Arabidopsis thaliana: one gene and its partner. Each later gene encodes a partner of the first gene's protein in a complex. Each region holds a gene or a part of one and is shown in the gene's direction. Other genes may lie near its edges. The genes, in order: GRF7 and KAPP.

Region 1 (16,880 bases):
GGAATTGGCAGCTTTGTCAAGACGCCGTGGAGGCTGTGATGAAAGGAGAACCGGTCAAAGAGATCGCCACAGACGCTGCGACGATCGGCCAAGGTCCGCCTCTTAAGATCTACGACATCCGACATATCTCCAAGGATGATAACTCTGCCGCCGCGGCTACTGGCTCAACCGATTTGAAACTTGCGAAAACTCGCCGTGCTAAGCGGGTCTCCACCGTCGCGATACAGGCGGAATCGGAGGGAAAGTCTGACGAGGCTAGTCACGATTCGTCGTTGAGTCATCAGTCTGAAATAGTGGCTGCTCATGAAGGAGAGAGCAAGGAATCCGAGAGCAATGTCTCTGAGGTTTTGGCATTCTCGCCTCCGGCTGTGAAGGGCTCCGGCGAGATAAAGCTTGACCTAACTTTAAGGCTCGAACCGGTGTCACGTGCGTATCATGTGGTACCTGTTAAGAAGAGAAGGATCGGCGTGTTTGGCACGTGTCAGAAGGAGAGCACGTGTAAGACTGAGCTTATGCTCTAAGCTCCGTTTTAGCTATACTCAGAAGTTTTGCCCCCATCAGCTCTATTCGGCTCGGCTCTGATGATCTTCAAGTCGAGCCGGTAACTTTTTTTTAATATATAGTTCTCTATTTCCCCCTTTAATGTTCACTTTCCATTTGTGACAAAAGAATAGAGTATATGTACAAAATTATTTACAGAGATTAATTCAAGAATTGGCTGAGATATTATCTATTTTTTAACGAATAAAAGCAAAAAATTTATAAAAAGAAAGTTGATTTATTTCTAAATATTATGGGCCTATCTGCTATCATTTAATAAGTGATATTTTGGGCCTATCCTTTCACGACTGTATTAAGGAAATTGTCAATACCACGTGGCATATTTTAATAGGATAATGGCGGCTGACCTGGCAGAGTTGAAAGCACAAGCCATGTGCTTCGGGTGTGATCCAGTGGAGATATCGAGGGAACGCAAAGGTAGGGGCCAGATTCTGTAGTACCTTCTTCGCCTACCTACTCTCTTTCCCGAATTTATTTGCCGGCGGTGATCAATCAGAACGGGATTTTAGCCTGAGTAATCGGTCACTGGGAAGAGAATTTCGACGGTGAGAGAAGATGAAGATATTTGTGAAAACTCTCAAGGGGACTCACTTCGAGATCGAAGTAAAACCCGAGGATTCGGTATGCGAATTTCTACAGATAGTTTCCTTACTTGTCAATTGAGACTGTTGAATTACGTATCCGAGGAGGTTTCTCGATCGAGTTTATTGTTCTCTCGGTAGAGTCGGTTTTCTCAATTAAGTTTCTCGATCGAGTATTTGATTTGGTCGATTTTAGAGGTTTCTCTGTTCTTTCGTGATCTGAGAGCTAGTTCTTATAAGTGGAATGTGGTAATTTGGAGGTTTCTAAAGAGAATTTAAACAATTCAGCAATCTTTGTCTATGGGTTTGTTTGGCCATCTTTTTTAGTAATTTCACTGCTTGTAGTGGGAATGAGCTCATTTCATTTGCATTTGAAGTGTGTTTGTTACTACTATGTTTGGATCCATTAACCTTCTGCTTCTCCTAAGTGTTTTCCAATTGGGGAATTTACAGTCTGTCACTGAACTGAGAGTTGTGCAACAACATTTCCATTTTAAAAGATTTCGTTTGGATTTTATACTTCCATCCTGTTATCATCTCTTTTTTTTTTGTGAATGCATTTCTGATAGTTGTAGTCTTGTAGTTGTAACTGACATTTTTATTTTTCAATGCGCTTGACTATTTTCTTGGACTTGTGCTGGTAATTTATCTAATTTCAGGTTGTTGATGTGAAGAAGAACATAGAGAGTGTGCAGGGCGCAGATGTGTATCCTGCTGCAAAACAGATGCTTATTCACCAAGGTAAAGTGCTTAAAGATGAGACAACTATTGAGGAAAACAAAGTTGCTGAGAACAGTTTTATTGTCATTATGATGAACAAGGTACGTTTTGGATCTGGGGAATAAATAAGTAATTCTGTTGTTTTCTGTTTAGCTCTTTGATTACCCGATTCTGATTTATGCTCTCTGGTGCTAAACATGTAATAGAGTAAACCTGCTTCAGCTGCAGCATCTAGTGCATCTGCTGGCACATCGCAGGTGAGTTGGTTCTGTTGTTATGACATCATTATAAAGGCTCAGATGCTGCAACTTGGGATTTTTGGAAAAACTTCTTGCCTCTGCAACTAATGAAACGAAAGTGTCAAATGCTTCTATGTATTTTCTTGTTTGTTGAATGATCTAACTTTGGTGTTGGTTTAGGCCAAGTCGATACCTCCCTCAACATCACAGCCTTCAATTTCCCCTCAGACTCCAGCTTCTGTATCAGCGTGAGTTTTCGAGACAAGTACTCTCTGTTTGAAAAATTCCTAGAATCTATCTGAAAAAACTGTGGCTACATTCTACAACTAATTTCAATATTTTGCCCCCAATTTGAAAACTGTGCAGACCAGTGGCACCTGCACCAACACGTCCACCACCACCTGCACCGACACCGACACCTGCACCTGTAGCTGCAACTGAAACTGTGACTACCCCTATACCTGAACCTGTACCTGCTACTATATCATCAAGCACTCCTGCACCAGACTCAGCTCCTGTGGGGTTAGCATCTCGTTTCAGTCTTCTGCGCAGCTCAGAAATTGACCTACTCTTATTCTGTTTCCTATTTGTTTTGATTAAAATAGAAGTCAAGGTGATGTTTACGGACAAGCAGCATCAAATCTAGCCGCTGGAAGTAATTTAGAGAGTACCATTCAGCAGATTCTTGACATGGGTGGAGGAACCTGGGATCGTGAGACTGTTGTCCTTGCACTTCGTGCTGCATTTAACAACCCTGAAAGAGCTGTGGAATATCTTTATACTGTGAGTTCAATTATTTTCTCTCTATTTTCGTACCGTCATGCAACTTAAGAGGCAGATTTTGGTCACTAATCAATCACTATGCCGAGAATAGATTTCCTTTTTATTATGATTGGCTACCTACTAAGTGAGAGAATACATATTTAAACACCGAAATTCATGTCTTAGGGGATCCCTGAGCAAGCTGAAGTTCCACCAGTTGCCCGTCCTCCAGCTAGTGCCGGACAGCCTGCAAATCCTCCAGCACAGACTCAACAACCTGCAGCAGCACCCGCAAGTGGTCCTAATGCAAATCCGTTAGATCTCTTCCCACAGGTAATACACCTTGAGATAGAAAGCAGATTTGGTTCATTTAAACTCTTGATTATAGATGGGTGTGCAGCTAAAATCTGCTCTTTATCTCTGACAGGGCTTGCCAAATGTTGGAGGAAATCCTGGTGCTGGAACACTTGACTTCTTGCGCAACAGCCAACAGGTATAAGCTGTTTTTTTCTTTTCTCGTACACTTGCTTACAGAGTTTATCAGACATCAATGTGAAACATAAATACTATTTTTGTATATATTAGTTCCAAGCTCTGCGAGCAATGGTGCAAGCAAACCCTCAAGTTCTGCAGGTATGTTGTTCTAATTCACAGAAGAACTGAAATCACTGTCGGTTTTCATTAAATATTGTTTCAAATAATTTTGTCCTTGCGTTTTTTCTTCAGCCCATGCTTCAGGAACTGGGAAAACAGAACCCAAACTTGATGCGGTTGATTCAAGACCACCAAGCTGACTTCTTACGCTTAATCAATGAACCCGTTGAAGGAGGGGGAGAAAGGTATGCATATGATGACTTTACGATTATGAATTAATGATTCATATGTAACATATATATCAACAGCAAAACGTTGGGAGGATTTTGATTACCTAAATAGTTATTCTGTGCTTGGATAATTTGTTGTGCATTGTGTAATTCAGTGGCAACCTCCTTGGCCAAATGGCGGCGGGAATGCCACAGCCACAGGCGATTCAAGTCACACATGAGGAACGTGAAGCCATTGAACGGGTCTGTTCCTTATTTTCTCTCTTTTTTTTTTTTTTTTACTTCTAGAACTTTGATCTTTCCTCTGAAAAAGAAAGTTTGTATCACTCTTTATAATCGATGAACTCGGTTTCACATTGATAAATACAGCTTGAAGCGATGGGATTTGAGAGAGCATTGGTGTTGGAAGTGTTCTTTGCGTGCAACAAGAATGAAGAGTTGGCTGCAAACTATCTTCTAGATCACATGCATGAATTCGAGGAATAAGCTTCTTCAGATTACTTTACCTACTCTCTATCTTTCGCATTGGTCCATATGTTTTAGCTATATATGTGTGGGATGCCAAATCCATGACCTCGTCACTTTGTCCATGTTCATGGCTCAGTTCTCAGTTTAAAATGAAGTTTGTCATGTGTTCTTTCTTTGTATTGTCGTTAGTCCTTACAAAATATCTTGTTCCAGTTATTTTTGTTGAATTGGGGACAGGTATTATTTCTGTATGTGCCTAAATAGTAAAATTATTAAATTATAAATAATTTTTTTTAAAAAAAAAAGGAAAACTCGATAATCTTATAATCGTTTCTTTTGTATGTATGCGAATACACAACAAAAAGTGACTTTGGTCTTCGTTGGACTATTTTGTGGAAAAGTCTTATATCCCAGAAGCCCAAAACTTGTAAAATCCGAAGTCTATGGCCCAAGTAGAGTTCTCCACATCTGACAAAACGACATCGTTCGATGGAACTTTACGAGGCTTCTTTTCCCTCACATCGTCCTCCGAGCCCTCACTTGACAGAACTCAGAAATTTGAAAGAGAAATAAAAGAGAGAGAAGCTCCCAGAGAAGAAAAGCCCTAAAAGCCCCACTCCTCTTTCCAGTTTCTTTTGATCTCTCAGCATCGAAAATGTCTGTGCGTGTACTGAATCCTAATGCTGAGGTGCTCAACAAATCGGCCGCGCTTCATATGACCATCAACGCCGCTAAGGGTTTACAAGATGTACTCAAGTCGAATCTCGGTCCTAAGGGAACTATCAAGATGTAAGTCTCTTCACTCTTGCTGGATCTATCTATTGTTTATTCGTCTCTTCACTTGTTACTGAATTTTCATGCCATTTTATCGATCACTCCGGTGTGTAGGCTTGTTGGTGGTTCCGGAGATATCAAGCTTACCAAGGATGGCAACACGCTTTTGAAGGAAATGGTAAGTCCGATAAAGAAACAAAAATTTGTAGATCTTCTTTTTTTGGTATGGAAAAAATGGTAGATCTTGTTGATTGGTTAGAATAATCTAGCTTAATGTTTCTTCTTACTTGTGAATTTTGTCAATAAGCTTGTTTGTAAAACGCTAGGGTTGTGCCTATTTGTTTGTTTTCAGAAATGGAATTTGGTAGGTTCTGGTCGAAGTCATGTTAAACCCTAGTTAGGTTTAGGTTAGGCTGTTTTTCAAGATTGTGATAGAAATAATAGACACAAATCTTTAGACTGGGACTGGTAATGTGACTATCCTGCTCTAATGAATGACACTAAACCGGTTGCTTACAGTGCTTACTTGCTTATCTTTTCAGCAAATTCAAAATCCAACAGCCATCATGATTGCCAGGACAGCTGTTGCTCAGGATGACATAAGTGGTGATGGTACTACTTCTACTGTCATCTTCATTGGTGAGCTTATGAAACAGTCGGAGCGTTGCATCGATGAAGGTTAGCCAAACTAGCTTTTCTCTGCATTATACTTTGAGTAGGGTAGTTTTATGCTTCGCTATGTCTGTTCTAGATAATCAGTTGGATCTGATGCCATTCATTTTCTGTATCTGTTTGTCATGGCTAACATATAATACTTTTCTTCTTCAGCTACCTTGTCATGTTTTGGTTAATCTCAGTGAGAAATGGTCCTTATGAAAGGTTTACTATGTCTCAGGAATGCATCCACGTGTCTTAGTTGATGGTTTCGAGATTGCAAAAAGAGCCACTCTCCAGTTTCTCGACACTTTCAAGACACCTGTGGTTATGGGTGATGAGCCTGATAAAGAGATTCTGAAAATGGTTGCCAGGACAACGCTAAGAACTAAGGTATTCTTTGTTTGCTGATATTTATATCTTTTTTGTTATCACCAACTCTTCTCTTCGCTTGCTGACGGTCTTTTTTTTCTGGCTTACTTAGCTGTATGAAGGCTTAGCTGATCAACTGACTGATATTGTTGTTAATTCGGTAAGTTTACTGATAGCTCTCATTGAATATCATCTTGCTTTTTCACATATATGAGAACTAATCTATGGATCAATTTTGGTTTGCAAGCCGTTTGTCTTCTAATTAGCTACTTCCCTCATTCAACAGGTTCTCTGCATTCGGAAGCCTCAGGAACCTATTGATCTGTTTATGGTTGAGATTATGCACATGCGCCATAAATTTGATGTTGACACACGATTGGTACGCCTTTGTTTTACAGTAAATTTCTTCAGTCGGAATTTACTCTATTAAAATGACTTGTGTATGTGATTAAAATCTTTTTACTGGTAGTGGTCGTGAATCAAATATATCATCTTAATGCACTCGGTGTGAATGTAACATGGATTATTTCTCTTGTAATAGGTTGAGGGGCTTGTTCTTGATCATGGTTCGAGACACCCTGACATGAAGCGACGTGCGGAGAATTGTCACATCCTGACTTGCAATGTGTCATTAGAGTACGAGAAGAGGTACATAAGACAAATCTCTGGTTGATTAATTGAATAGATATGAAAGACTATAACTTAGAAGAATTCTCCCGTGTATTAGTGATTGTGTAGCCTAACTTTGTCTATATATCAGTGAAATTAATGCAGGATTCTTCTACTCGAATGCGGAGCAGAGGGAAGCCATGGTTACTGCTGAGCGACGTTCCGTTGATGAAAGAGTTCAGAAAATTATTGAGCTGAAGAACAAGGTGAGTTTGAAACTACTACCTCCAAGCTATATGCTGTATTCTTTCAGATATTTATTTATATTATTCTTTCAGATATTTATTTATATTTTCTTTTTCTGATGCAGGTTTGTGCTGGTAATGATAACAGCTTTGTTATCCTAAATCAAAAGGGTATTGATCCCCCGTCATTGGATCTTCTTGCTAGAGAAGGGGTAAGCTATGATTGGCTTTGTATTTTTTTCCGGCATCTGATTGTGAGAAAAGCATGAAAAAATGTAGACGAAGATTGTGAAATCAAGTGAACTGAAATTTTAACCAAATAGAGAAAAGGTTATCCACTAAGAGTATTCACCTAGAATCTCTTAAATGCCTGGATCTTCCACCAAGCTTGTTTTTTTTTGTCTTGTGCTCTGTTTCTTGTGTCTACAAGTTGTTACAAGAGAATTATCTTTCTGTTCCTTATATATGTATATATGTATCTCCAGATAATCGCCCTTAGAAGGGCAAAGAGGAGGAACATGGAACGTTTGGTTTTGGCATGTGGTGGAGAAGCTGTGAACTCTGTCGATGACTTGACCCCTGATTGTCTTGGTTGGGCTGGACTTGTATATGAGCACGTTCTTGGAGAGGAGAAGTACACATTTGTTGAGCAAGTGAAGAATCCTCATTCATGTACTATCCTCATAAAAGGTACAAATGCCCAAACTTCTATCTCTTGCCAGCTAAGTTTTGAAGATCAATTTTGCTTATCTTCATATGTGTGGTCATTGATTATCTATGATTATGATTTGGTTTTCTTTATAGGGCCTAATGACCACACTATTGCTCAAATTAAGGACGCTGTCCGTGATGGTTTAAGATCAGTTAAGAATACCCTAGAAGATGAGTGTGTCGTATTAGTAAGTACCTTCTTCTCCACAAAGATCAAATCCATTGCTATATCAGTGTGATTGTTTTGGTTTTGGGCGCATGTGGTTTATTGACATCTGTTTCTTTCTGTAGGGAGCTGGAGCTTTTGAAGTTGCAGCAAGACAACACTTAATCAATGAAGTCAAGAAAACCGTTCAAGGGGTGAGTAGAAAGCAATATTCCTTTGCTCCAATACCAATTCTTGTTTTTTTCCGGTTGCTAATGTAAATTGTGGGCAAATTGCAGCGCGCTCAACTCGGTGTTGAAGCTTTTGCTAATGCCCTTCTCGTAGTGCCTAAGACGCTTGCTGAAAATGCTGGGCTTGACACTCAAGACGTTATCATTTCTCTAACGGTATTATTCTTGTATTTTCCTCTTCTGCCACTATCGATTATGCTCCAAGTAAAATTATGTTTGTGTTTATCTACTGAGTTTCGATGTATATACAGAGTGAGCATGACAAAGGAAACATCGTGGGACTAGACCTACAGGATGGAGAACCCGTCGACCCTCAGCTTGCCGGCATTTTCGACAATTACTCGGTGAAACGCCAACTTATCAATTCAGGGTATGTGCAGAACCAAATGGAAATTTGTATAATGGAGTCTTTTAATTCAGTTGCGGTTGAGTTCAGGTTGTTAAAACGGTTGTTTGGTATTGTATTGCAGGCCGGTGATTGCTTCGCAGTTGCTATTAGTGGATGAAGTGATTCGTGCAGGAAGAAATATGAGGAAGCCTACTTAAAACAAGACTATCTTTTGTTTTCAATTTTTTCTTACTTTCCCTTTCGTGTTTTGAGTATTAGCATATGAATACTATTTATTTTTTACTCGTTATCCTTTGTTGTCTTAGATAATTTTGAATGTATCTTTTTTTTCTATCTTTTGTATCAAACAAACATGATGAATGTTTTGATTGTGGTTTCTAGCGAAAACAGAACAAGATAAAGATTTCAGAATTTTAAGAAAATGGAACCAGATTTATGTGTAAACAAACGCAATTAAAAGTCAAATCAACAACAATGCACGGCATACTTTAATTGATTTTTATTTTTCTAGTAACGGAGTCAAGGCCCAATTAAATTATTTATTTTCCACGATCATTAAAGTCTTTAACGGGTCAACACCGTTAGACACTTGTCATACTATTACTGGGCCTTATTTTTCTCTTTACTTTCTCTGAAAATCAAAGCCCATCTCTTCTTCCTTTTTTTTCCCCTAATTTCTCACTTCCCCCTCATTTCGCGTCTCGACCTTCGAATTCGACAAATCCCTAATTCCAAAATCCTCTCGGTAAGCTACGGATCTAGTCTCTCTTTTGCTCATAGTTCGACGAAATCGTCTCTCTGTTGCTCGTTCATGTTTTCGTTTCGTTTTGTGGACTTAATCTTCTCTGTGTTCGTTGTTATCTGGAGATCTGGCAAAATCTCGAATGATTTTGATAGATTCTAGGTTTCTAGGTGTATCTATCGGTATAGTGTTCGTTTTGTCTTGATTTGTTGGTCTCGACGATTTATCTGTTGTTTCTTTTGTTTTGTTGGGAATAATGTTGATATAGCCAAGCTACTGTGATGTTGATGAAGTTTGAAATGAATTTTTGAAAACAGGATCTAAAAGAGTGTGTGATAACATAAGATGTCGTCTTCTCGGGAAGAGAATGTGTACTTAGCCAAGTTAGCTGAGCAAGCTGAACGTTATGAGGAAATGGTTGAGTTCATGGAGAAAGTTGCAAAGACTGTTGACACCGATGAGCTTACTGTCGAAGAGAGAAACCTCTTGTCTGTTGCTTACAAGAACGTCATTGGTGCTAGGAGAGCTTCCTGGAGGATCATATCTTCCATTGAACAGAAGGAAGAAAGCAGAGGAAACGATGATCATGTTTCCATTATCAAGGACTACAGAGGAAAGATCGAAACTGAACTCAGCAAAATCTGTGATGGAATACTCAATCTTCTGGATTCTCACCTTGTTCCCACTGCATCTTTGGCCGAGTCCAAAGTCTTTTACCTCAAAATGAAAGGAGATTACCACAGGTACCTTGCTGAGTTTAAGACTGGAGCTGAGAGGAAAGAAGCTGCTGAGAGCACTCTGGTTGCTTACAAGTCAGCTCAGGTAAACTCTTTAAGTTTCAACATCTATCTATCTTATTTTGCTGCTTGAGACCAGTAAAGGAGCTGTCATGATGAATGCTTATGTGTGTTTTTCTTCTAATGTAGGATATTGCACTTGCTGATTTAGCTCCTACTCATCCGATTAGACTGGGACTTGCTCTTAACTTCTCTGTCTTCTACTACGAGATTCTCAACTCACCTGATCGTGCCTGCAGTCTCGCAAAACAGGTTTGTATTTTGTCATACGGGATGTTATGATGCTTCCAGACTTTGTAACACTTATTCCAGCACCAAATTGCTTAATGATATTCTCTCAATTGTTTTGACAGGCTTTTGATGAGGCCATTTCTGAGCTGGATACATTAGGAGAAGAATCATACAAAGACAGTACGTTGATAATGCAACTTCTCCGTGACAATCTGACCCTTTGGAACTCTGACATCAATGTACACCTTTGTCTTCCTCCTTTTGCTTTTCCCTATAAACTCTTATATATGCAGTCTAAGCTTCTTTTACTCAGAAATTTCTCTCAAACGCTGATTGTGTTGCTGATTTTTAGGATGAGGCGGGCGGTGATGAGATCAAGGAGGCGTCAAAACATGAGCCGGAAGAGGGGAAACCAGCTGAGACAGGGCAGTGACCAGAGAGAGAGGGAGAGACATTTCTAAGTATGTATGGTATGGATTTTCCAAAAACATATGATATGATTAGGGGATTTGTAGAAGCAGAGAGAAAGATCTTTATTTGATTTTCTCCAAAAATCTCTGTTCCCTTTTTTTTTTATTGGGTTATTAAAGCTGTTTGAGTCTTTGGTTCCTGCTTCGTTGCTTGTTAGTATTTAGGAAGTGAAGAAACAAAACTTTGAATTATTGCTTTCCATTCAACTCGTCATAAATTATCATAATCAGTGTATTATTTACTTAGTTCTTATTAGGGTATTCTGATTTTTGCTTAACGCAACAGAATTTGTGTTAACCCATTTTTAAAGAATCTTCAATCTTGTATCATTGGTCGGGTCAGTCGGATATATGGTCCGCTTTTGGTTTAAGACCGGAACAACGAAAGCCGGGGATATTGAGCCTTTCTGATGATGCGCCTCCGGGCGGTAATGCTATTGGGACATGGATTACATTCTGATCAATAGGGACTAATAGTATGGATTTACTTTGTACTTCAGACTAGGGTTTTTTTTTTTTTTTTTTTTTTTTTTTTTTTAAATATTATTAATCCTCATCCCAAATGACCTTGGGCCGCAACAAAAACAACATCAAATCCAGTTACAAAATTAGCAAATCGGAAAACATGTCGGCAAAGAAGGAAGATCGCCGCTTGTTGATGGAAGCTAGCAGAGAGACCGGAGCATTAGATCCGGCGGGCTCAAGCCCTACAGTTTCGAGGCCGCAACCGATGCTCGAGAAACTCCGACGAAAGAGACCGGTTTTCGTCCTCGAATCAACCCCACCGGCGCACCAACCCACCACAAGACTCCCAGAAAGCTAGTCTCCCCAACAAGCACATCGACGGCACCGGATTCTGAAGAAGCAATCCGATACACTGGACGGTAACCCTTCCTTCCCAAACCGGTACAGATCCGAAATCCCAGAGCTATTGCGTTTCAACCGGCTCGATGGATGCAAAATTGTGACAAATCTAAAGGAAGGTGGCTCAACCGAAGCCTTCAGATCCGTAACTCACAACCGCCCTCTAAGATCCTGAGGATCTGCAGTTAACCACCAAGCAAACAACACTCCCACCAGATGCCCTCCAACTTCCGCCGTGGGCGCAGCTCAAGACCGACGGATGAGCCGGAGGACCCGAAGCACTCACGACGTCCATAAACGTGAGACAAACGCTGCAGGTTCCTCTTCCGCCAGAACTTGAGCCACAACCACATCGGAGGGAAATCGCCACACCACCGTTGACGGAGAGAACGCAAAGACTCACTCCTGGACCGACGTTGAACAGCTACGTCCGGAGAGTGAAGAGCAACTGAACCTAAAGATCTAGATCTGAGAAGAAGAAATCGCCTTCAAGTGAGAGAGAAAAGCGTGGAAACCAAAGCAACGATTGTGCCTTCCACTTTTCTTCAATGGTTAAATGTTTGGTTGTCTCCAGACTAGGTTTTGGTCTCTTCCGTTTTAGTAGTTGTTCTCGTGTCGCTTAGAGTCTCTGTAGGTGGTCAAAGAGATGATAATATTCTGATTTGTAGAGTATTATCTATCTCATTGTGGTTTAAAAATGCAATGGTTCCTCGATCAGGTAGCGCTGGATCCGATAGTGTTTCAGGGTGATACTAGATCAAACCATTGCATTTGGGTCCAATTTGATAGAGGGGAATGTTATGTACCTTTAATTGGATGTAATCATTTGGTAAATGAAAGTTGATGTTGAGCCAAAAAAAAAAAAAAAATCTGATACAGGGAAAAGAAAAGCTTTAAACTCTTAAAATCTTTTTGTAGACAATTCAACACATAAGTCTCTTTCCCTACATTTCATTTATTTCTCTTTTCCTTATTTATTCCTCTCTTCTTCTTCTTTTGACAGATTATCCTTTTTCTATTGTTCCATTTTTTTATTCATGTTTTCCATGTGTACATTTGTATAAGAAGTTTTTTTATTCAAAATAGTAATCTGCTGTAAACTTAAAAATAACTCCAAACACACATTATCAGTAAATATTTTGAGCATGTTTATAGAAATACGAATATACGGAAATCAATGTATTGAGTAATTAGGAATAATATGAATTAAATATAATTAAACACATACACTTAACATATAAACACATCGCTATTCCTATTATTACCATCCCCCTCGAATCCCACTGCTTTGCTTTTGCGCTTGTCTCTCTGTGCATTCACCTTCTCTCTCTCCTCTCTCTCCTCTCTCTTTCTCTGTGTCTAATGGTTACAGCTACTTCAATCATAGCCTGGTCGAATACTCTTCACCTCTCTTCTATCTACTTATCAAAGTTTCGATTTTTCACTTACTCTTGTTAAACTCTCTTACCATCTTTTGTCTGTTTTCCAGGGGCTCTGGAGAAGATGGGCAACTAGGAATTGGTACCAACGAAGAAAAGGAATGGGCTTGCGTCGTTGAAGCTCTCGAGCCTTACTCTGTTCGCTCCGTTGTCTCTGGTAGCCGTAACTCCCTCGCCATTTGCGATGATGGCACGGTACTATCCGAAATATCATGATAATGAGATTTGTCTTGTTTTGATTGGTCTCTTTGCATTTGGGGACATGATTTTATAAGTTCTTGTAAAATTTGAGAGACCTGTTTTAGTTTGGTTTTATAAGTTCTTGTAAAATTTGAAGGAACCAAAAAACACATAGTTTGGCTTATTAATCATAACCAATGAAGCTCTGTGTCTTCTTATCTTGTGGGAAAAGTCTCTTAGTTGAGATTCTTGATTAGAAGCTAGCCTATAGCTCAAAGTTGTTTTCTTGAACAGGTTTTGTTTGTGTTATCATGGAATTGGTCATTATTTCAGTAGTTTGATAGCTAAATTAAAGGTTTAAATTCACAAATAAGATTTAAAACCTCTATTTCGCTAAGTTATGTTTCGGCTTCTTTGAACTGATCTCAGATGTTTACATGGGGTTGGAATCAAAGAGGTACATTAGGACACCAACCAGAAACAAAAACAGAGAACATCCCTAGTCGAGTCAAGGCCCTTGCCAATGTCAAGATCACTCAGGTTTGATCTTTCTTTCTACTGATCCATTATGGTTTCTATAGAATATCATATTGAACTACTGGTTCTACCTTTGAATGTGTTCTTTTGTAATGGATGATAGGCAGCAATTGGTGGTTGGCATTGTTTAGCTGTTGATGATCAAGGCCGAGCATATGCGTGGGGTAAGAGAATGCCTTTTCATACTCTATCTGATTTGCTTGGTGAATCATATTGAAAATTTATTATGGAATGCACATAGGTGGGAATGAATATGGACAATGTGGTGAAGAGCCTTTAAAAGACGAGATGGGTAGGCCCGTACGAAGAGATATTGTGATCCCTAAGCGTTGTGCCCCCAAACTTACAGTCAGACAGGTATACTTGCTCGTCTTCTAATTCTAAATGGTGATCTATGGATAATTCATTCGAGGTCTAAACTTCTTAAAAGGTAGCTGCAGGTGGTACTCACTCGGTGGTTCTTACACGCGAAGGTCATGTGTGGACTTGGGGTCAACCGTGGCCTCCCGGTGACATGTATAATGAACCATTAAACTCAAAGCAATAGTATACATTTTGTGCGTTCTAACTTCCAAGGCTATTACTAATATGTTTGGTTTGGTTTCCTCTAAATTGCAGAAAACAAATATCTGTTCCTGTAAGAGTTCAAGGTCTTGAAAATGTCCGTCTTATTGCTGTTGGAGCATTTCATAATCTGGCTCTTGAAGAAGATGGGAGATTATTGGCATGGGGTAATAACGAATACGGACAACTTGGAACCGGTGACACCCAGCCAACATCTCATCCTGTTCCAGTCCAAGGCCTCGATGATCTCACTTTGGTTCTGCTTCATTTCCCTTTTCTTGATTCCCTTTCTACTTATTAAACCTTTGAAGAGTGGTTCTGATTATAAGCTTTGACAATTTGTCCTTCGTTACACGCATCTGCAGGTCGATATTGCTGCGGGTGGATGGCATTCAACGGCTCTAACTGATAAAGGAGAGGTTAGAATCATCTTACGCTCAAAAATGTTTTCTTTCCTTCTCATTCTCACTGTGTGCTAGATCCTTTTTCCGTTATTATATTATGTGTTTGGTCTTCTAATTCTTAGGTGTATGGTTGGGGAAGAGGAGAACATGGAAGACTCGGGCTTGGTGACAATGACAAGAGCAGCAAAATGGTTCCACAGAAAGTTAATCTTCTAGCTGAAGAAGATATAATTCAGGTTTTAAAGCGTTAAGCTTCAATGAGAGATCTCTATTCTTTGCTGAAGAGAATATCATTCATGTAAAGCATTTAAGAATCTTGAGTTCTCTTTCTTTCCAAAAAATTCAGGTTTCTTGTGGCGGAACACATTCAGTTGCTTTGACAAGAGATGGCAGAATCTTCTCGGTCAGTCCTTGAAACCATAAAAACTGCTTTCAGGTTTAGTTTGAAACATCCTTGTGATTATGTTTCTCTTTTCGATCAGTTTGGTAGAGGAGATCATGGTAGACTTGGTTATGGAAGGAAAGTAACAACAGGACAGCCATTGGAGTTGCCTATAAAGATTCCTCCGCCTGAAGGAAGCTTTAATCACACAGACGAAGAAGAAGAAGGAAAATGGTCAGCTAAATCGATTGCTTGCGGTGGCCGCCACACTCTTGCCATTGTAGAATGGAAGTCCGATGATATTTGACACTCAATCTCACTGGTCACTGAAGAACTTGAGAAGAGAAGATATCAATAGATTTTTACTAAGGAAGGCAAAAGAAGAGTGTATCTATACAAAGAAAGAGGGAAAACATGCTTATTTCAAATTTACTTTTTCCCTACAAATAATCTTTAGAAAAAATAATAATTTTGATTTCTAGGGAAAAAAATTTCCAATAATTTTGATCAGGAGATGTAGACATTTTAGTTTGTTGAAAACCTTGAACAAAAGTTTGTGTTTTACAATCTTTTAAATCAATTAAAAAAAATTGTATCATGTGCCAGTAAAAACATTAATAAGTTCAATAAAAAACTCTATGATCAGGAAAATCCATATTATATATATAAATATACAAGCAAAAAAGGATAGAAATTGGCATATGATCTTGCATACATTGCTCCAATATTGTGTAACCAATATCCCAAAATGATTGGTTTGAATCTCAAGAAGCTTTGATAAGATGAGGAAGACAAATGAGAAATATGCATTTGGATTTTCTTGGTTGTCTTTGCATTTTCCTTATCCATGAGGAAAACCCACTTCCTCTTCTCTTCTTCTTCTCTTTCTTTTCTTCTTGAATTTCTTTTGTCATCATATTTTGCTCATTTTCTTCTAACTTCACATCCTTCAAAACCCAAAACCATAGTAACTAATCAGGTAGATAATCACTAGTTATCAAATTTATATAGTTTCTAAAAACAAAAAATATTGGTTGAATTGTTCAACCAGTGATATATAAATATACAAGCGTGCACATATTTAAGTAGCCTTTTCAATCTAAACTACACAAAATCATAATATGGGGTCCAATGAAGATTTCTCATGAAATAATTGTAATATCGAAGTTGGATGATACTGTTTTGTTTTCTATGATGGATACTAGTATCACGTCTTAACAAGGATACAATATTTTGTATATAAACAAACAAAACGTGGAGTCTTATCGCTGTCTCTTCTATGATTAAAAAAAACATTATACACTGCACATTTATGTATTGGTGTTTGCTCTTGTTTTGTGAAAGAGTTTAATTGCACAAACGAGTTCAAAGTTTTATGCAATTAATTATTACGTACGTAATTTGCATGATTTCAAATATTTTGAATGGCCCAATGCAAAATCGTACCAAAATTTGATAATCATTGTTAGAAGTTAATATATGGTTCTCATAGGGCCTTAACTAATGAGTAATATGTCCTTACAAAATTTAGTTCAAACATTAATATATCTAGTATACATAACTTATACGTAACGAGTACTGTCATATATTTAATAATATGTTTAATATGATAAAGATTATTTTAATAAAATATTTCAAGAATATTGTTTCAAAAGGCAAAACTATATACTTTCAAACCGAATTATTTCGAAAGGGAAAAAATTTGATTTTTTCTTTAACGAAAAAAATAATTTGATTTTTACCCATTTTCACAATATGCTAAAACCAAGAATTATTAGAGCAAAATCGTATATAATGTACCTCTTGTTGAGCTTTCAACTTTAGTGCATACTCAACAGGCGAATCATCAGCTCCCACCTGTCTTTTCGTTAATCTCTCCATGATCGGCGTCGTCTTTGCTGCACTAACATTTCCCTGTGCACTCACGACATCTCGTTTAGACCCCACAACTTTCTTATCTGCTATAAACCAGCCCCAAACTCTTTTTTAGTTACAAAAAAAAAAA
Region 2 (16,880 bases), on another chromosome or scaffold:
TATTTTAGGTATACATGTTCATAAGGCTTTTTTCTCATATAATCTTTTATACTCAACATAATTTTGGTGATGTAATCAAATTCACAAGTGAATTGGTTAATTATTCGGTCAAAGAGAGCGACAACATAAAGAATCAAAAGGAAGCCCACGTTCAAAGAACAAAAATTTAATTAAAATAAATAAATACTTTCAAGTTTCAATTTTTTTTGTTTAATAACTAAAAATGAAAAAAAAAAAAACTATGTCTAGCTAATAAAATAAGGGCAAAAGGGTGACTTCTTGTGAGGTGTGACCGTTTTGAGGATAGTATATCAGACGTCCACATACTTGAAATCATCACTCACCATGTCTTTTTGCTCTGCTTAGCCACAAATAAACCTACCCAATATAATTGCTCTCTCAACATTTTCAGATTAAACATAAAAGTATAAGCACACCAAAAAGACATTGCGTAACTAATCATGTGGAGGTCAATAGGTCAAACAAATGATGTTTAAAGGGACATTTTGATTCATGAATATGAAGCATCGACATGCATGTACAGTTTGAAACATCGGATCCAAAATTTTAAAAGTTGGGTTAGTAGTTTGGAGATTTCACGACATTACTTTAGCCATGTAAAAGTTTGTGATACAAATATTTAACGATGTACTGGAAGTCGTGATGAGCCGTTGTCATTTTAATTTAATTCTCATTTTAACCAACAAAAAGGGGGTTGGTGCACTTATTTCTTTCGTCTCTTGAACAATACTTGGTTATTAATTATACCAAAAATATAAAAATTCAATTTCCTTAGAAACTAGCAATAAACCAAAGTATATAGCGTCAAAATAATTCCAAAGAACATGCAATAATACCGAAATGGATAGACGCGGATCCCATGCAGACTACTTTGCAAGAAAAGGAACGTGAAAAAGGAGCTTTTATAATACCAATCGCCACTCACAGGCTCACAGTAGTAATTATAATTAATAATTAACAATAACCAAAAAGAAGACAAAAACCCTTAACCATAAAGAGTTTCAAAGATGGAGTTTCACGTGTCGCTCACTACATTTTCTTATTATTATATTCCATATAAAGAGAAACCGAGTAGGGAAAAAACCCTACAAAACCGTGGTTTATTTTTTATTTGGCCGTTTAATACCTGTAGTTTTAAAATTGGAATAAAAATACCAAAATTATTTTTTGTTGCCTTTTAAATTCATGGTCTTTTACATTTTGGTAATTTCGAACTTGCGATTTAACATCTGTTAATGGGTGTTACGGAAGTCGTTAACGACGTTAAATATTGACCCTACATGTTTAGATATATATATATATAATATGTTTACGAATTATTCCGTTGATATTGCTTTGGTCTGGTGAGCTAACACCCAAATCATTTTATTCTTGATATCTGGGTTCGAGTCCACCTGCAACTTATTTTTTTTCTTTTAACTTGGTCCATTTCATTTGGGGTTTTGCTCATAGATCTTTGAGACGCAATCCCTTCGATGATTGGTCCTAGAACCCTTCCTTTGACGCTTGTTTGATAATCTCTATAAGTCTCTCCTCATCTTCAGCCTGAACACAATCCCAATCTTGTTCTGGTTTTTACCTCTTTTACTGTAACTGATTTTATTTTTTCAATTCAATTCTCATCGTTTATGTTATTGGTGGTGATGGAGAGATATGTGATTGATGGGAGGTTGGATGAACAGAGAGTTAGGGATTTTGGTTTATGGTGGAGATCGTTGGGGGAGTGAAGGAATTGAGTTGGAAAAAGTAGTGGCAGAATCAATTGCAAGAAGGTGAAGAAGATGAAGTGAAATTAAAAAAGCAAAATAAAAACAAAAAAAAACTTTAAAAGTTGCAAGTTGCGTCGAACCCGTTAACTTAGGGTTATACAAAACCCAGGTTACCACTAGACCAAGAAAATATTTTCATAATGCACTCATAACCGATTGTATATATATAAAACTTAAAGTATTAAATTTAACACCGTAAACGACTTTCGTAACGCCCAGTAACAGTTGTTAAGTCGCAAGTTCGAAATTACCAAAATTTAAAAGACTACGGATTTAAAAGGCAACAAAAAATAATTTTGGTATTTTTATTCCAATTTTAAAACTACAGATTTTAAACGGCCAAATAAAAAGAAACCGCAGTTTTTAAAGCTTTTTTCCCAAACCGAGTGGAAACTTGCACTATTATTGTAATTTAATAGTAATTTAATTTGGAGACATATTTAGGAAAACTACCTTCAAATTTATTATGTCTCACTATGTACAAGTTACAAAATAAATAAATACTATCTCAAGTTATCATTATAAGCAAAGATGGGTTTAAACAAAATATGGGGTTTAAATAAAAATAATTACGATGTATTCCAGTATGTGTTAGTCATATGCAATTAAAGAAAGTAAAAGTATAATAATTAAAAAAGTTTTTAACCAAACGCCGAACACATTCGCCGTCCGTACAAGGAAAAGCCTTTTGATTTGGGTTTAACCAAACGCGGGTTTGTGATGACGTCGTTATTGTACGGACCAACCTAGTTTCTTCTTTTTTTTTTGATAAAAAAATGTTCATACTTATTACATTATAAAACAATTGATCATCTTCGAGAGAATATTGACGTCAAATATGCTTGCTAAATTTTATTATGTTGTGTGTATATATATATGTATGCGTTTTTAATACAAACAGATTATATGCTTTCTAATTTATCTTTTTCAGTTTTTTTTTGTTTTTTTTCAATTGTCTTTTGCCTCTCTGCTTTTCGAATTTTCAAATATTTAAGCAATGACCAAACAATTAATTCTGATTTTATAACTAGTAAGGAACTTTTGTATAATTTGATCCGTGTTCCATTATATTATTTTTTAACAAGAAAATATTACATATATAGGGATACCGGCCTACAATGCATATGTGTTTAGCCTATTAATTCTTAACTACAGAAACTTTTGATTTTTAATACTAAAACCGAAAAATCTTTTTCTGGTGAAGTTTTGGGCCATACTATTTGATTGAGATCATTAATTTTCTGTTGGAGAAGTTGGATTTATATATAATTATATGTTTGAGAGCTTAATTATGTTTTTTAATTTATTGTTGTTTGTTGCCATCAAAGAGAAAATTTCAATGTATATTCTGTATTTTTTTTTTTTATCATAGAACTTTAATTTTTTGGAAGATTCTTCTTCAAATGTGGAACTTCCTGTATCACAAGTTCTTGAAATCGATCCTACTTTTTCATCATATGATATACATGCAATTAATTTGATTTGATTTGGTGGAAATTGAATTGGCATAATAATAAAAGGAAGCTTCTCGTCCTAACAAAGTTGAGGTTGCCACTAATCTCGAACCACTGAGGGAATCTTTCTTACCAAACTAGATTAACTGCCGACCAGACCACAAGCATATTCCCTCTGCCCATTTCTTTCCATTATTTTATCATTTTTATTTTAAGTTAATTGAATCTACTTTTGAGTTTTTTCTCGAGTTAGGAAACGATGATTTTTCTATTAAAAACAATCAAACACATCGGAGAAAAATTGTGAAATTGTAAATACAGAGCAAAATAAGAAGTTTCTCTCTTTTAGGAAGTAGCAACGCAGAAAGATTCCCAATTTAGCAATCCCCTGTTTTCCCGATCGCCTTGAACACATCTTCTTGATACTTGAACATTCTCAATGCCCATCACTTCATCTTCATCTTCATCTTCTTCCTCTTCCTCCTCCTCCTCGTATTCTTCGGTTTCTTCAGGCTCAATAGTCTCTTCTTCGTTCTCTACAAACTCATTGGAGTCTTTCAAGATAGAGAGACGGAGACGACCATTGCTACGGTCAGCTTGAAAGCATCCGTTACGAGGAGGCGCGTTTGTGGCGGTCATGACCAATCTTCCGTTTTCACGGTGTGGTCTCATTTGAATGCATTGAAATCCTCTCATAGTGGTCAAAGGAGGTGGGAGATCACTAGGGCTCACACTCCTTTTCCTACTTTTTAACGTTCTTGTCTCCGTTGTTGTTTCCCCGAGATTCTTGGTTTGCACGTCAAGCGAGAACAACTCATCAATATCTGTAACATCAGAACCAGATTCGCTTCCGAGATTCTCAGTGCACAATGCTAAGCTCTGGTCGCTTAGAGCTCTACAAGAAGACGGACGTTGAACATAGTAACTACTCTCTTTCTCAGAGCTTGTCGTCGTCTTTGTGGAGGAGGAGGAGCCAGAGGATAGGGACTGGAGAGAGCTCCAGCCACTCGAGTCAGAGACCGGGGAAGCAGCAGCTTTGTCATCGTTACGGTTTCGGGTGTCCTCTGCATGAGAGGAGTCAAGTAAATGAGATTTGAGAGCTAAACCAAATGGTTGAGAAAAGTGAGGATTTGGTGAAGATAGCCTAAGCCTTAAAGCCCTAGGCTCATTAAGCTGAGACTGAAACCCTTGTTGATACACAACAGTTCCCATAGTTTAAAGATGATAGAAGAAAAACTGTTAAGAGAGAGCAAAGACTTGTGTGAGATGTGAAACTAAAGAAGCAGAGAGATGTTTTTGGAAATAAGCATGAAGGATAATGAGAGGGAGGTGATGCCAATTTGTAGTGTCACAAAAAGTGAATAAAATAAATAAAGAAAATAAAGAAAAAGAGAAGTGACTGTGCAATGTGCAGAGACTAGAGAGGTGGGTAAGAGAGCTTTTCCACACCACCACTTGAATAATGCAAAATCTTTTCTATTTATTTATTTTATTATGTCACACAAATGCAGATAAGAATACTATTATGTAACAAAGGGAGAGTCGCTGTAGTATTGTGCACATGAATAACATTGAAAAAAAACCTTCATATAATCTTTTTACTGTTACAAAAGAAAAAAATCTGATTTGTTTGTTAGTTAATAGGAAAAGATTTGGAAAGCATAGACTATACAGGAAACTTTGGTTAATCATCGTTTTTGACTCATTTGGCAAAAAAATATAAAGACTGAATTATTCAGCAGCCAAGGAACTTTCGACCCTCATGTGATCTGGGACTGAAAGAGACTACCCATAAAAAGGAAGAAAAAAAAAATCAATAGAGAGAAAGAGAAAGTTCCAAATGAAAAAATGAAAATTAGTGAAAAGATAATTCAAATGAGGTTTTACTAAGAAGAGTAAAATTTTGTATCTTATTAAGGTACAATAACAACAGTTTAACATCTGAATGAAAAATAGCAAAATCAAACGCATACGAAAAAAAACATACGGCCATTTACAGAGAGACACGTAATGGAAGTAACATGTCAAAAAGTTACAGACAAGTTTTGTTCTTTCTTTTATATTTTAATTTTACCTTCCAAAAAAACTAAAACAATCCAACAAAAGTTATGAAAGTTCTCAAATATGGTTTCCCCAATATAGTAGTGCTATGATTATGAAAACGATTGTTTGTTTTTCTCTCTAATAGTAGTCTCCATTTCACATAATTTAAAGCAAAGGAGTCGTGTGTCACACAGAGGCATGGATGGTCAAAACCTATGTCGGGTAATTCTTAGACCCGATTTAAACAACATGATAACAACAGCCCACTAATTTTGAAATCTATATCCCATCTACCAGAAAGAAAAATAAAAATGATTATTGGCACTAATCAAGGAATCAACATAAGATGAGTTTCCATGCAAATTAATGTTTAGACAACAATGGTCATAAATTGAGGAAATTCTCATGTATCAAGAAACCACGACATGAAGCATAAAACAAAAACAAAGAAAGTGAGCCGAAAATACACTCACCTCAATTACACTGTATTTGAATGCAAGGAAGCAAAAACCAAATTCCGCCCACTTATTATGACCTAAAAATGAAAGTTTTTTTTTTAGTTTTTTAATGAATGTGAACAGAAATAATTAAAAGAAACATATCAAATCAAAGTGACCAAGGTTTTAGTTAACTGAAGTACAATAAGGTTTAGTGACAAATAAGAAGAAACCACCTATGTTTCAACATCTAAAACTTTTCTCTAACTCTGAAAAATATTGGCTTAAGTTAACATCAAACCTTGTCCTTTGAATCTAGCCAACAGTAAACTTTCAAGATTTGCCCTCTTAAGCCCATGTGTTACCCTAAAGAAACCGTACGGAACAGCTTAAGAAGACAGAGTTTAAGAATCATTTAAGTCGTCAGCAAGAACCAAGTGATTCCCCACTAAAACACTTTTCTTTCTTCTGTCTCTCTGTTAAATCAGATGCTTACGTACTTAACCCCATTCTAAACAACAAAAGACACTTTTATTTCTTAGTAATTAAACAAATGCCCTAGGGTCACTGACTTTTGCTTAACTCTAAGGCTTGTGGATTTATTTATTATATAAACTAATGTAACCTAGTACTCTTCTCTCTAACCAAAAGAAAGCTAGAATGCATGAGCTGTTCCTATTCCAAAGAGGGTGGGGGAGAGATTTGTAAGATCTTCTTGGGTTTCCTGTAACAGAAAAAGTCATCTCAGTTTAGTACTTGTATCATAGATAAAGAATGTGTAGCTACTACCATTGATGAACTGTGAGCATAATGCTAGCTTGTGTGCTGTATAACTCTATGATCAACTTTAATAACCTATTCCCTGTCTTTTCGAGGTTTATTGCGACATGAACAAAGCAAGTGGATTTTAGTTTATGTTTTCAAGAGATTCTGTGGTCACTAAGTCTTAAAGGATTTGGTACAAAGATACCTTTGATTATATATTATACAACAACAAAAGAAAACCATTCTTACTGTTATCAGATTGTGTCCAATATCAGTACTCAGCTTCTATAGCAAGTAGCATCCTACGATATATTCCCGGTGGTTGATCACGTATTACTTAGTCCTCTAGAACATACCAATAACATGTACAAATGCAGTAGAGAACAGAAATGTGGTCAAAATGTGTTATTAAGAACCTCATGTGGTTTATGGATATAGATCTACCCAAGACACGTTTCAATATTCGGTATATAACTCAGTAATTAGTAATTTAGCAATCAATGTTTTGCTATTAATAATGCTATTATCCATAAAACTAGGTTGGTTTTTCTAGTCCCACTTCCTCTGCTGAAGGAATCAAGAATGATATAATTAAGCAACTAGTTGACATGCTTAGAATGAATAAAGAATGAAATAATAATTAGGATTCTCTAACGTAAGCAAGAGTAAGAAAGTTATGACATAGTTAAACTAATAAAAGTGGAACAAAAAGGAGCTGACCTGCAGACGTAATCTCTAGACAAATATCCACAAATTGAATCTTGATCAGCAGAGGTGGTCCCAAGATCCGAACCACCTCCATAGAAGAGAAGAAAGTAGCACAGCAACCTTTGGCCACTCGAAGGGAGAATGCTTTTGAGTGTGTCCTCATACAAAAAGCTGCTTTTTTATACATGATTAAGATTACGATAATTAAGTGAGTAATGACAGAGGCCAAAAGCATCAAATTTAAATCAGAATATGTTTTGACTTCGTATCACTCGCTTGGTTCATGCCCATGACGCAAGAAAGTTAAAAGAAGAAAGAAAATGAAAAAAGAAACAGAGTGAAACTTCGAATCATAATCCATCAATGTTTGTGATTGGTTTCAAGTTTTCAACTAATGGAGGATCTAAAAGCAAAGGAAATACGTCATACCACTTGAAGTTAAGTGGAGACATAAACTTAAGCCTTACGTTTCCATCTATGTTCTATGATCACAGCGTAAAACACGAGTATTGAATCTCTTGGCTCACTATAAATTGCATAACAAAAAAAAAGAAGCATTCCACCATCTTTTTGACCATATTAGTGGAACCTTTATGTGACAATTCTCCGACTTTTAAAATTCTGACCCAGAAAGAAAATCTATATCATTAGAATGAGACAGGGAGCTTATCTAAGCCATGCATACAAATGTTATCGGCTAACATAATTTATAACTTTAGGCAGAGAAAGAATAGAAACTAAAGATTATTAGGAAATAGAACTTTCTCCTTTGCTTTTAGGGAAGCATGACATCCACACGAAATAACAATCTCATCCATAGCTAATGTCTTACTCACATATCACCCAAACAAGTAAAAATTTCAGCAGATTAGATGTCAACATTTTTCAAAAGTTTTAGCGTGGTCTAGTTATCACGACTCAAGTACGGATTAATACGAACAAATAACACAGGTAAACTTACATTTAGTTGATGCACTATAGGAACAATGAGTCAATGACTCTTCATCAGCTCGGTCTTATCCAAATGAAAAGACATGTTGATCCAACAAAGATGATATTGTATCTCACGCCAGAAAGCTCTTCATGGTTGTGCCATGCCTAGAATATCTTGAACCATAAGACAGTGGGAAAATTTTCTCAAGTTAGAGGAGAATCTAAACTTTCACTTAAAACCAAGATTGAGGCAGAAACAGATTAAAGTCAAATTTAGCACTCAAAGTAATTGAATGATTCACTTACTATTAATGGGAAAACACTCAATAAATACGATTCTGTTAGAGTGGCGCTCATCAATACTAAACTTAACCAAGCTAATAAGAGAAATATAGAATTAGAGAGGGCTATAATATTGTTATGCAAAACAAACAGAGTAAAACAACAACATGGACAATCTTCACTAAAAACATCTACAGTTTTTTTTTTAGCTTAGGCTGCACCGGTAACGCATATCCATTTACTGACAGAGGTAAAATGTAAGATACAATAGTTGAGAAGTTGAACAAAAATGGCATACCAAACATGATTGTAGTTAATTGATTGTACGAAGATAAATGCATGTAGCATTACCCATTACTCCGATCCGTCTCTCAATAATTAATGTAGAATAGAGAAATCTCTCTTCATCATACAATGTCATTAAAGATATCCCACACATTAACAAAGAAGTTCTTACTAAATCCCTAAATCAAATCAATATAATGCATTCTTGCTCATCAAAATGCAACCCTCAAGAATTCAACATCTTTACGGTACAATAGGGAAGACAATGTCTAATGACTCTTCACATTTCATTGAACATATATAAGCAGAAAAATTTCAAACTATAGTTGCAGAAATTTCCAACCCGTATAAAGAAAAGAAAAAAATGAAACATTCAGGCTCATATGCAATAACAACGTCGAAATAATGAAATTTCAATCATCTACATGATCATGTAGTAGAGTGCTCTCAACCGTTGGATTAATTTATACATTTTCTATGTGTAAATGTGTATCATGATAGAAAAGGCACGCACCAATGGAACATCTGGGTAACGACGTAGCAATCAACCACATAATCGACGATCAACATTGAAATCTGAGTACGCGCGACTAACGAACGAAACGTTTAGGGTTTGCAAAATTGAAGGTTGAAGAGACGAAGAACGGAGACAACGTCATAGGGAACGGTTACGTGGTATTAATCTGAGCATCGGAATGTGAGCCATGTGACGACGTGGCCTCCTCTTCTCTTCCCGGAATCGCCATGGAAACAAAAATAAAATTTCTTGGAACGAACTAGCACATGTGCCACGTGTCACACTAGGCTTCTTACATTTTTTTTTTATAAAAATAATTAAACTGGAAAATGGAAAAACAAATAACAATTCATAAAAACTGTAAATTTAAAAATATATCTTCTTCGTCTTGATGATTATACATAAACATAACTTCCTTAAACAATTACTAGGTTTTTTTCTTTTTCTTGTTGCATGAAATATAAAATTGCAAAAACATAGTAAAAGAGAAACAAATTATCAATAAGAAAAACACCACGCCGGTCCAGCTTGAGCCTCCCTACAGAACCGATAATAAAGCCAGGCCGGTCCACCTTGCGGCTCATTATGGAACCGATTATAAAGCCAGGCCGGTCCACCTTGTGGCTTATTGAGTAAACCATTATGAAACCGGACCGGTCCACCTTGTGGCTCCCTACGGAACCGATTATAAAGCCATGCCGGTCCACCTTGCGGTTCATTACGGAACCGATTATAAAGCCAGGCCGGTCCACCTTGGAGCTCATTACGGAACTGATTATAAAGCCAGGCCAGTCCACCTTGCGACTCATTGCGTAACCCATTATGAAACCGGGCCGGTCCACCTTGTGGCTCACTACTTAACAGATCTTGAACCCAGTCCGGTCCACCTTCGTCCTCATCAGCACGTAACCGATTACGAAGCAACGCCAGTCCACGTTGCGCCTCACTACGTAACCGATTAAGAAGCCACACCGGTCCACCTTCAGAAAGGTACGGGTTAAAACGACCATCCCTTGTAACACTCTCCGCAATGTCCCGTGCAATGGAATTAGCAGGACAAGACACCAGCTCAAAGATGATAAAAGGAAATGATTGACAAGCTATGAAAATAGTATCGAGCCACATTGCATATCGAGGCCAATCCCGAGGATTATACAAGGCAGCAATTGCAGCTTGACAATCCGAAGAGATTATCACGTTTTGCAAACGAAGATCTCGTAAGCTTTTAACCACCCACAAGATACAACGCAACTCGGCCATGATCCTATTTGAAGACCTTGTAAAAGCATCTCTTGCATGGTATAGAGCCAAACCATTAACATCACGAGCAATCCAAGCTACCCCACTCATCATGTCAGCATTTCCCCAATGAGCATTCACATTACACTTAACAATTCCAAAGTCTGGAGGAGTCCAGTTAAGATCCAAGCTCGTCCCCCGAACAAAGCATGCGCCATATGTATCTATCTGTCGCGCATTAAGCCACCGTTCCTCTTCTTCAACCCCTATGGATCCTTGTACACTCAAATCCACATGTCTACCTGCAAGCAATTTATCATTTTTATTAAACAAATTAAAGATAAAATTTCTGAATTATTAGTTAGATACAAGTTACAAGAAAAATTGCAAAATTCTAGCTATCGTCTTTTTAAAAACAAACGTTAGACATTAGGCTAATTGTATAGTTTATGATAAAAGGACAACGACATCAAATTAAAAAGATTACAAAACTCATTAGCCATACAAAAGTTAAAAACTCACAAGAGTGTTAAACACAAAATTGACAAGAACCATATAGATTTAAATTGATATATCAAAGAGAGAAGGTTCAGTTACGATTTATGTGTCCTCTGTGATGAGCAATCATGACTTGAGAAGTAGACAATAGCATCGTCTCTTGAACCTTGTTTAAAGGTCTGACCGGCCGTTTTGTTAACCAACTGAAAGATTCTAACAACAAATTTTCTTATATATATGCTTTACCAATTGTTGTCTTTGAACAACCATAAAAAACAAAAAACAAATTGAGAGTTCTTAAATACACAAAATTGAGAAGGTAGTGAATGAAGACTATTATTATGTTACCAAATTATATATTCGTATATGTTTACCACATTTAAAGCATAGTCAATAAAAAATAAAAACGTTACCAAATGGATAATATATTGAAAGTTGATTAGTAAGTATCATTTATGTAATTTCCATCTCGTGTATGCATAATTGTATGCATATTGGTATTATAAATTCATATGGGACTTTAAAAATGGAGTAGTTGCATTTGTTGATAAAACAAAAGAAAATGGAAGTTCTCTCTGATTCAAGAATAAAGGTAACTGTAACATGTTTTATACTCACATAGACATTTTTGATTACTATGTTTTACAAGATTTTAGGAAAATGACTTGTGTGCGTGTGTGTGCTTGTCTGTTGCATAAAAGAGAAGAGCACAAGACTGATATTTACGATTGGTATATTAGAATGCATTATACATTCATGTTTAAATTTTACTGCATTAGGGATTACATTTTGTTATTTTTTGTGCTAACTAATTTATTTTGATTAGTAATCATTTATCACAACGGTAAGAAGTACTATTCCGTTATTTCTGTTACCCTACAAAAAGCAGTAAGCTTTTGATTAATAATCATATATCGCAATGGTAAGAAGTATACTGTTATTTCTCTTATCCAATTCCTGCTTTTGATTAGCAATCATATATTGCAATGATAAAAAATAATCGGATATTTTTTGTTACCAAATACATAAGGCGGTAAGATTAACAATGCCAAAACGTTACCATCGTTATTTTTGTACCTCTATATTATACCAATTTTTCTAGATGTTACTCGAAATACATCTAAACATAAATAAGTCATCTCGATCGAAAAACTTTTCATTAACAATGAGATTTCTAGAATCATATCTACATATCACTTAAGTCTTCAAAAACATAACCTTTTTCTTTACAAGATTCTTGATAATTCTAATCTATTTAATTTGTTTTTTTTCAAAAAATTAAAACCATAAATCAAGTGTAAAAAACAAAAAAAATCTCATAATCTATAGCGTAATCCACATATTAACCAATAGTAACTCGTGGAGGTGATAATTATATAGCTTAATCCAACCCTAGCCAATCATGTAAAGCGTTAGGGATAATGTACTCTTAGAGTCTATCGACCAGTGAAAATAAAAAGACAGTGAAAATACGATAAGAGAAAGAAAAAAAAAAAACAGAGAAGGTAAGAAAAATTCAAAGCGAGGTTCTCGGGAACCAATCTGGAAGGAGGAGGGGTGCAGAGAGAGAGAGAGAGAGAGAGAAGCGAAGACGATGGCGATGATAGGGATGAACATTATTGGGCTATTCATGGTTCTTATGTTGCTTCTCATCTCCCTCATCATCCTTTTCGCCTGCAAGCCATGGCGATATTTTTCTCGTTTCCGATCCTCCTCTCGTTTTTCTTCTACCTTCAAGGTTTCTTCTTCCTCTTCCTCTTATCTCATTCTCTATTCAATTTTCAGAGTCTTCGTTCCACGGCTTCGTTTTTTGATTTTTGATTCGATTTTATGTCGGATGGTTTGTTTTCGCGAAATGATCAATTGATAAAGGATTTGATCATCAGTGACAAGTGTTACGTCGCTGGATCATGATGCTTTTCTCGTGGATTCCGATAGTAGTTGGGGTTATTTGGCGATTTCGTTGATTGATTTTGTCGACGTGGGGGCGGTGAGATATATATTGTGTGTTTGGTTTCTGAAATAATCTGATTGACTTTTTGGAGATGATAATGTGTTGTTGAGTTTTCTCACTGTTGAAAAATTAGGATTCTTTTGTTGTTGTTAGATTCTTTTGAAGCTCAAGAGTTGATAGATTCGTTTGGTTTATAATGAGTGTGGCTGGATTTTCTCTGCCTGCTCGATTTGCACAAAATGGTTTTGTTTGAATAAAGCGTAATGGCCGTTTCAGCTTCTTTTGTGTGCTATGTTTTCTTCTTCTTCTCTAGCCATGGCTAATTGACATTTTCAACGGCTCAAACTGTTGATGTGCACTTAGACAGACATTGGAAGTAGGGAACTCTTGTGAATTTGCTTGCGAAAACTGTCGATTTGTTTCTGAATTTGGACATTGGTGCTTATATATTAGGCAATGTGAATGTTGCCAAGAACTCAGTTTCAGTGTGGGAAATTATCGTGGGAGAACTTCTTCCTCATTAGTTACCTTTTTGTAGGAATTCTGTGAGTTTTGTTTTTTTTGTATTTTTGTCTTTCTACCGGAGAAATGGTAACAAATGAATGAAAAAGGTGAAATCAGCTGTTCATTCATTTCCTAGCTCTGTTATACTCTACTCCTTACTAATCTAATAGGCGGTTTTACTCTCACTGGAAATAGGATACAGCTCATCCATCTAGTCTTTTCGCTTGTAGATTTCATTTGTTTGCAATTTCTCCATAACTTGGATAACATACTAAAATTGTATAAGAACTAAATCCACCTTATTATTACTACATTCTTCATATAGGGAAATATTGAGTTTCTCATCTTTCAGCTATTGAGTATCCAGTTTACGCAACTTTTTTTTTGCTCCTAGCCCTAATTCTTTCAGCGCCATTGTTTGCAGGTGGGGGATTTGCAGAGACCACTTATTTCTGATGATGGAAATTTGATCCAAGGACAAACCAGTGAGGTAACAAGGGAATATGATTTAGAGGGAGCTTGCTACCAAAATGATGGACTTTTGCATTCATCTCTGACTGAGGGACGGTTTTACAAACAAAGGCTTCCTTCGTCATCTCCCCATTTCTCCCAAGGTACTCATTGCCTCTTTCCTCCCCTGCTATGTCCAGCTCTGGTAGACAAGTTGGATTGACTCTAGATCATTAGCGTGATGGAAATGATACAGTTGTATCAGAAACATCCTCTTTGCATTATGAACTCTATGCATCACTCATTCTTGACCTTACCAATCTGCCCTAACTTATGTAGGTGAAAGCTTTGTTCTAGAAGTAATTTCTGAACCTTCTGACAATGCTTTGGTGGGCCAAACGCTTAAACTTCCAGCTGAAAAAGGTTCCTTGGCAGAAGTGCAAACATATGACTGGCAGAATAACAGAAATGAAAACTTGCAATATAATCTGGAAAAGGATCGACTTATTAATCTTTCTCCGAGGCTCGTGGAAGATCAAAGTAATTTCTTATTCTTTTGCTTGCCTAGGGTGTGTAATACAACTTCAATCCATTTTTTGAATTACTTGTGCAAGACATATATCATATTTTGTGTTAGAAGTGCAGGAAGTTGGCTGTTCCTGGAAGTCATCGCGGGTCCTGCCATTGGGCTTCAACATGCTGTGAACTCCACAAGTTCCTCCAAGCTGCCAGTGAAACTTGGAAGGGTTTCTCCTTCTGATTTGGCATTGAAGGACTCAGAAGTCTCTGGGAAACATGCACAGATAACATGGAACTCTACTGTAAGGAGCTATGTAGATTTATTTATACGACTTCTGCATGCCACTTCTTACACTGTGCGTCACACCTGCCTGGTTTTGATTTCAGAAATTTAAATGGGAGCTGGTAGATATGGGTAGCCTAAATGGAACTCTCGTAAACTCTCATTCAATAAGTCATCCTGATTTAGGCAGCCGGAAGTGGGGTAACCCTGTCGAGCTTGCAAGTGATGATATAATAACTTTGGGAACAACAACAAAGGTCTATGTAAGTCAATCTGAGTGGTGAAGGTGCTTGCTGGTAATTTTTTTTGTTTCCCTTGTTAATTTCATGCAATTTCTTTTCATCTTTGGAAGGTCCGTATCTCCTCTCAGAATGAGTTTCAGATACCCTTCAAAATTGGTGTGGCCTCAGATCCCATGGCTATGCGTCGAGGAGGCAGGAAACTTCCGATGGAAGATGTTTGTCATTACAAGTGGCCGCTTCCTGGGGCTAATAAGGTTACCTTGATTAGTGATTTGAGTTGTATGTATGATGATGGGCTTCGCTGCTTTTGATAACATAATTCCAAATGTATATGGTTTCAGTTTGGACTGTTTTGTGTTTGTGATGGACATGGGGGATCAGGGGCTGCTCAATCCGCAATCAAGTGAGTCTTTCTTAAAAAAATCCAAATCACCTCTATTAACTATTTCTTTTATAAAATCCTCCTCGATAGGTCTTATTTTGGGTTTTCTTTGTATGCTTAACCTACGAAATGTCCTAACCTGAAAAAGGCTGCGGTTTTGGCTGTGTTTAAACTTCTAACAGCATCCGCCTTTCTGAGTTTTTCTTTATTGTTTTTGCTTCATTTATTAATCAACTTCTTATGTAGTTTAAAATTTTTAGCTGCATGTGATTAGCCATGCAAATGTGTTACAGTTAGGGCAGGCGTGGTTACAGCCGGGAACAAATATATGAAACTTTGTTCTGTTCATTTTTGTAAATGGGCTTAGTCATTATATGTTAGGAGCCTTCACTAACTACTGGAGCATCTTTGATTTACTTGTGTCTCCAACAACGGCAATTATATACTTGAATATATAAGCTAATTAAACTTCTTCTCCAGAATTATTCCGGAGGTTCTAGCGAATATTTTATCAGACTCGCTGAGGAAGGAGAAAGTGTTATCAAAAAGGGATGCTTCGGACGTCCTTAGGGACATGTTTGCTAAAACAGAAGCTCGCCTCGAAGAACACCAATATGAGGTATTTCAGTTTGTCCTTTTCTTTTCCTTTGATGGCATGTTTGCCTTCTTGACGACTTGGCTGGAACTTTTTCATTGCTTCCTACTTAATGAATTAGTTGATCGATGCAGGGTTGTACAGCTACTGTTCTCTTGGTTTGGAAAGACAATGAAGAAAACTTCTTCGCACAATGTGCCAATCTTGGGGATTCAGCATGTGTTATCCAGTACGTAAAAAATATTATATTGCTATTCTTGAGATTCGTAGTTGCTGAGCTTGCATTAACCAGACTTGTAGCAGCATTTCTTGGTGTAGAAAGAGGGAGGGGACTTGATTACTCAGATTAGAAACAAAGATCTTGCGTGTTTAAAGCGTGAGTGAGTGTGGTCTTCTTAATGAAAACCTCTTGGTTTGGAAACAGTAGATGATTACTAATATAGGCTTTATAGTAGAGTAAATAGACATCAATAGATGAGATTGTTTCACGTCGGAGTAGAATTTTTTTGGATAAGAAAAAGAATATTTGAATGTCGTTGCTTTGCTTTGTGGAAATAGAAAGAGAGTTTATCCCTACATCTTCCTTGATACGGATCTTAATTAATAATAAAAAATTCTGATAGTTGTTTTGCTCTTAGGAATTAATGGTCTCGGCATTATAATAGTAACTTCGACTTTCTTAACTGATTACGATTTGGTTTGCATTTGGCAGTCTTGGTGGCAGATATATACAAATGACTGAAGATCATCGAGTGGTTAGCTTGAGCGAGAGAAAACGATTCCAAGAAGCAGGACTAGCCTTGAGAGATGGAGAGACTCGGCTTTTTGGTATTAGCTCAATGAATTAAACACGCTCAGGTGATTGCAACTTCTTTGTAACAAAATGACCAAATCTGATGTGATAATTTTCTTCAGGTATAAACCTTGCGAGGATGCTTGGAGACAAGTTTCCAAAGCAACAAGACAGCCGTTTCAGTGCAGAGCCATATATAAGTGAGCC

Evidence for each region.
Region 2: GRF7 (region 1) and KAPP share a complex: the UniProt entries of both Arabidopsis thaliana proteins name them as parts of the SERK1 signaling complex.

Annotation. Positions count from the first base shown.
Region 1 is NC_003074.8:520,388-537,267, reverse strand, and holds GRF7 (general regulatory factor 7), read left to right. Parts: upstream 1-8,879; 5' UTR 8,880-9,010; exon of another isoform or gene 9,011-9,189; intron 9,190-9,324; 5' UTR 9,325-9,352; coding exon 9,353-9,829; intron 9,830-9,933; coding exon 9,934-10,056; intron 10,057-10,157; coding exon 10,158-10,274; intron 10,275-10,387; coding exon 10,388-10,468; 3' UTR 10,469-10,975; downstream 10,976-16,880. Other genes in the region: LBD41 (LOB domain-containing protein 41), read left to right, coding at 1-521; RAD23C (Rad23 UV excision repair protein family), read left to right, coding at 1,117-1,182, 1,802-1,963, 2,069-2,119, 2,282-2,349, 2,468-2,623, 2,707-2,884, 3,050-3,196, 3,291-3,356 and 4 more; AT3G02530 (TCP-1/cpn60 chaperonin family protein), read left to right, coding at 4,811-4,944, 5,044-5,107, 5,472-5,607, 5,825-5,976, 6,068-6,115, 6,242-6,334, 6,497-6,603, 6,716-6,830 and 7 more; AT3G02510 (Regulator of chromosome condensation (RCC1) family protein), read left to right, coding at 12,732-12,760, 12,859-13,003, 13,418-13,528, 13,629-13,689, 13,767-13,882, 13,956-14,041, 14,144-14,345, 14,455-14,508 and 3 more; AT3G02500 (mental retardation GTPase activating protein), read right to left, coding at 15,640-15,822, 16,676-16,836. UniProt on the Arabidopsis thaliana protein: Is associated with a DNA binding complex that binds to the G box, a well-characterized cis-acting DNA regulatory element found in plant genes.
Region 2 is NC_003076.8:6,475,905-6,492,784, forward strand, and holds the start of KAPP (kinase associated protein phosphatase), read left to right. Parts: upstream 1-12,414; 5' UTR 12,415-12,545; coding exon 12,546-12,689; intron 12,690-13,833; coding exon 13,834-14,023; intron 14,024-14,198; coding exon 14,199-14,399; intron 14,400-14,504; coding exon 14,505-14,680; intron 14,681-14,765; coding exon 14,766-14,924; intron 14,925-15,013; coding exon 15,014-15,157; intron 15,158-15,244; coding exon 15,245-15,306; intron 15,307-15,765; coding exon 15,766-15,904; intron 15,905-16,014; coding exon 16,015-16,109; intron 16,110-16,230; coding exon 16,231-16,260; intron 16,261-16,592; coding exon 16,593-16,708; intron 16,709-16,795; coding exon 16,796-16,880. Other genes in the region: FAF3 (FANTASTIC four-like protein (DUF3049)), read right to left, coding at 3,590-4,456; AT5G19270 (reverse transcriptase-like protein), read right to left, coding at 9,713-10,755, 11,051-11,105. UniProt on the Arabidopsis thaliana protein: Dephosphorylates the Ser/Thr receptor-like kinase RLK5. May function as a signaling component in a pathway involving RLK5. Binds and dephosphorylates CLAVATA1 (CLV1). Functions as a negative regulator of the CLV1 signaling in plant development.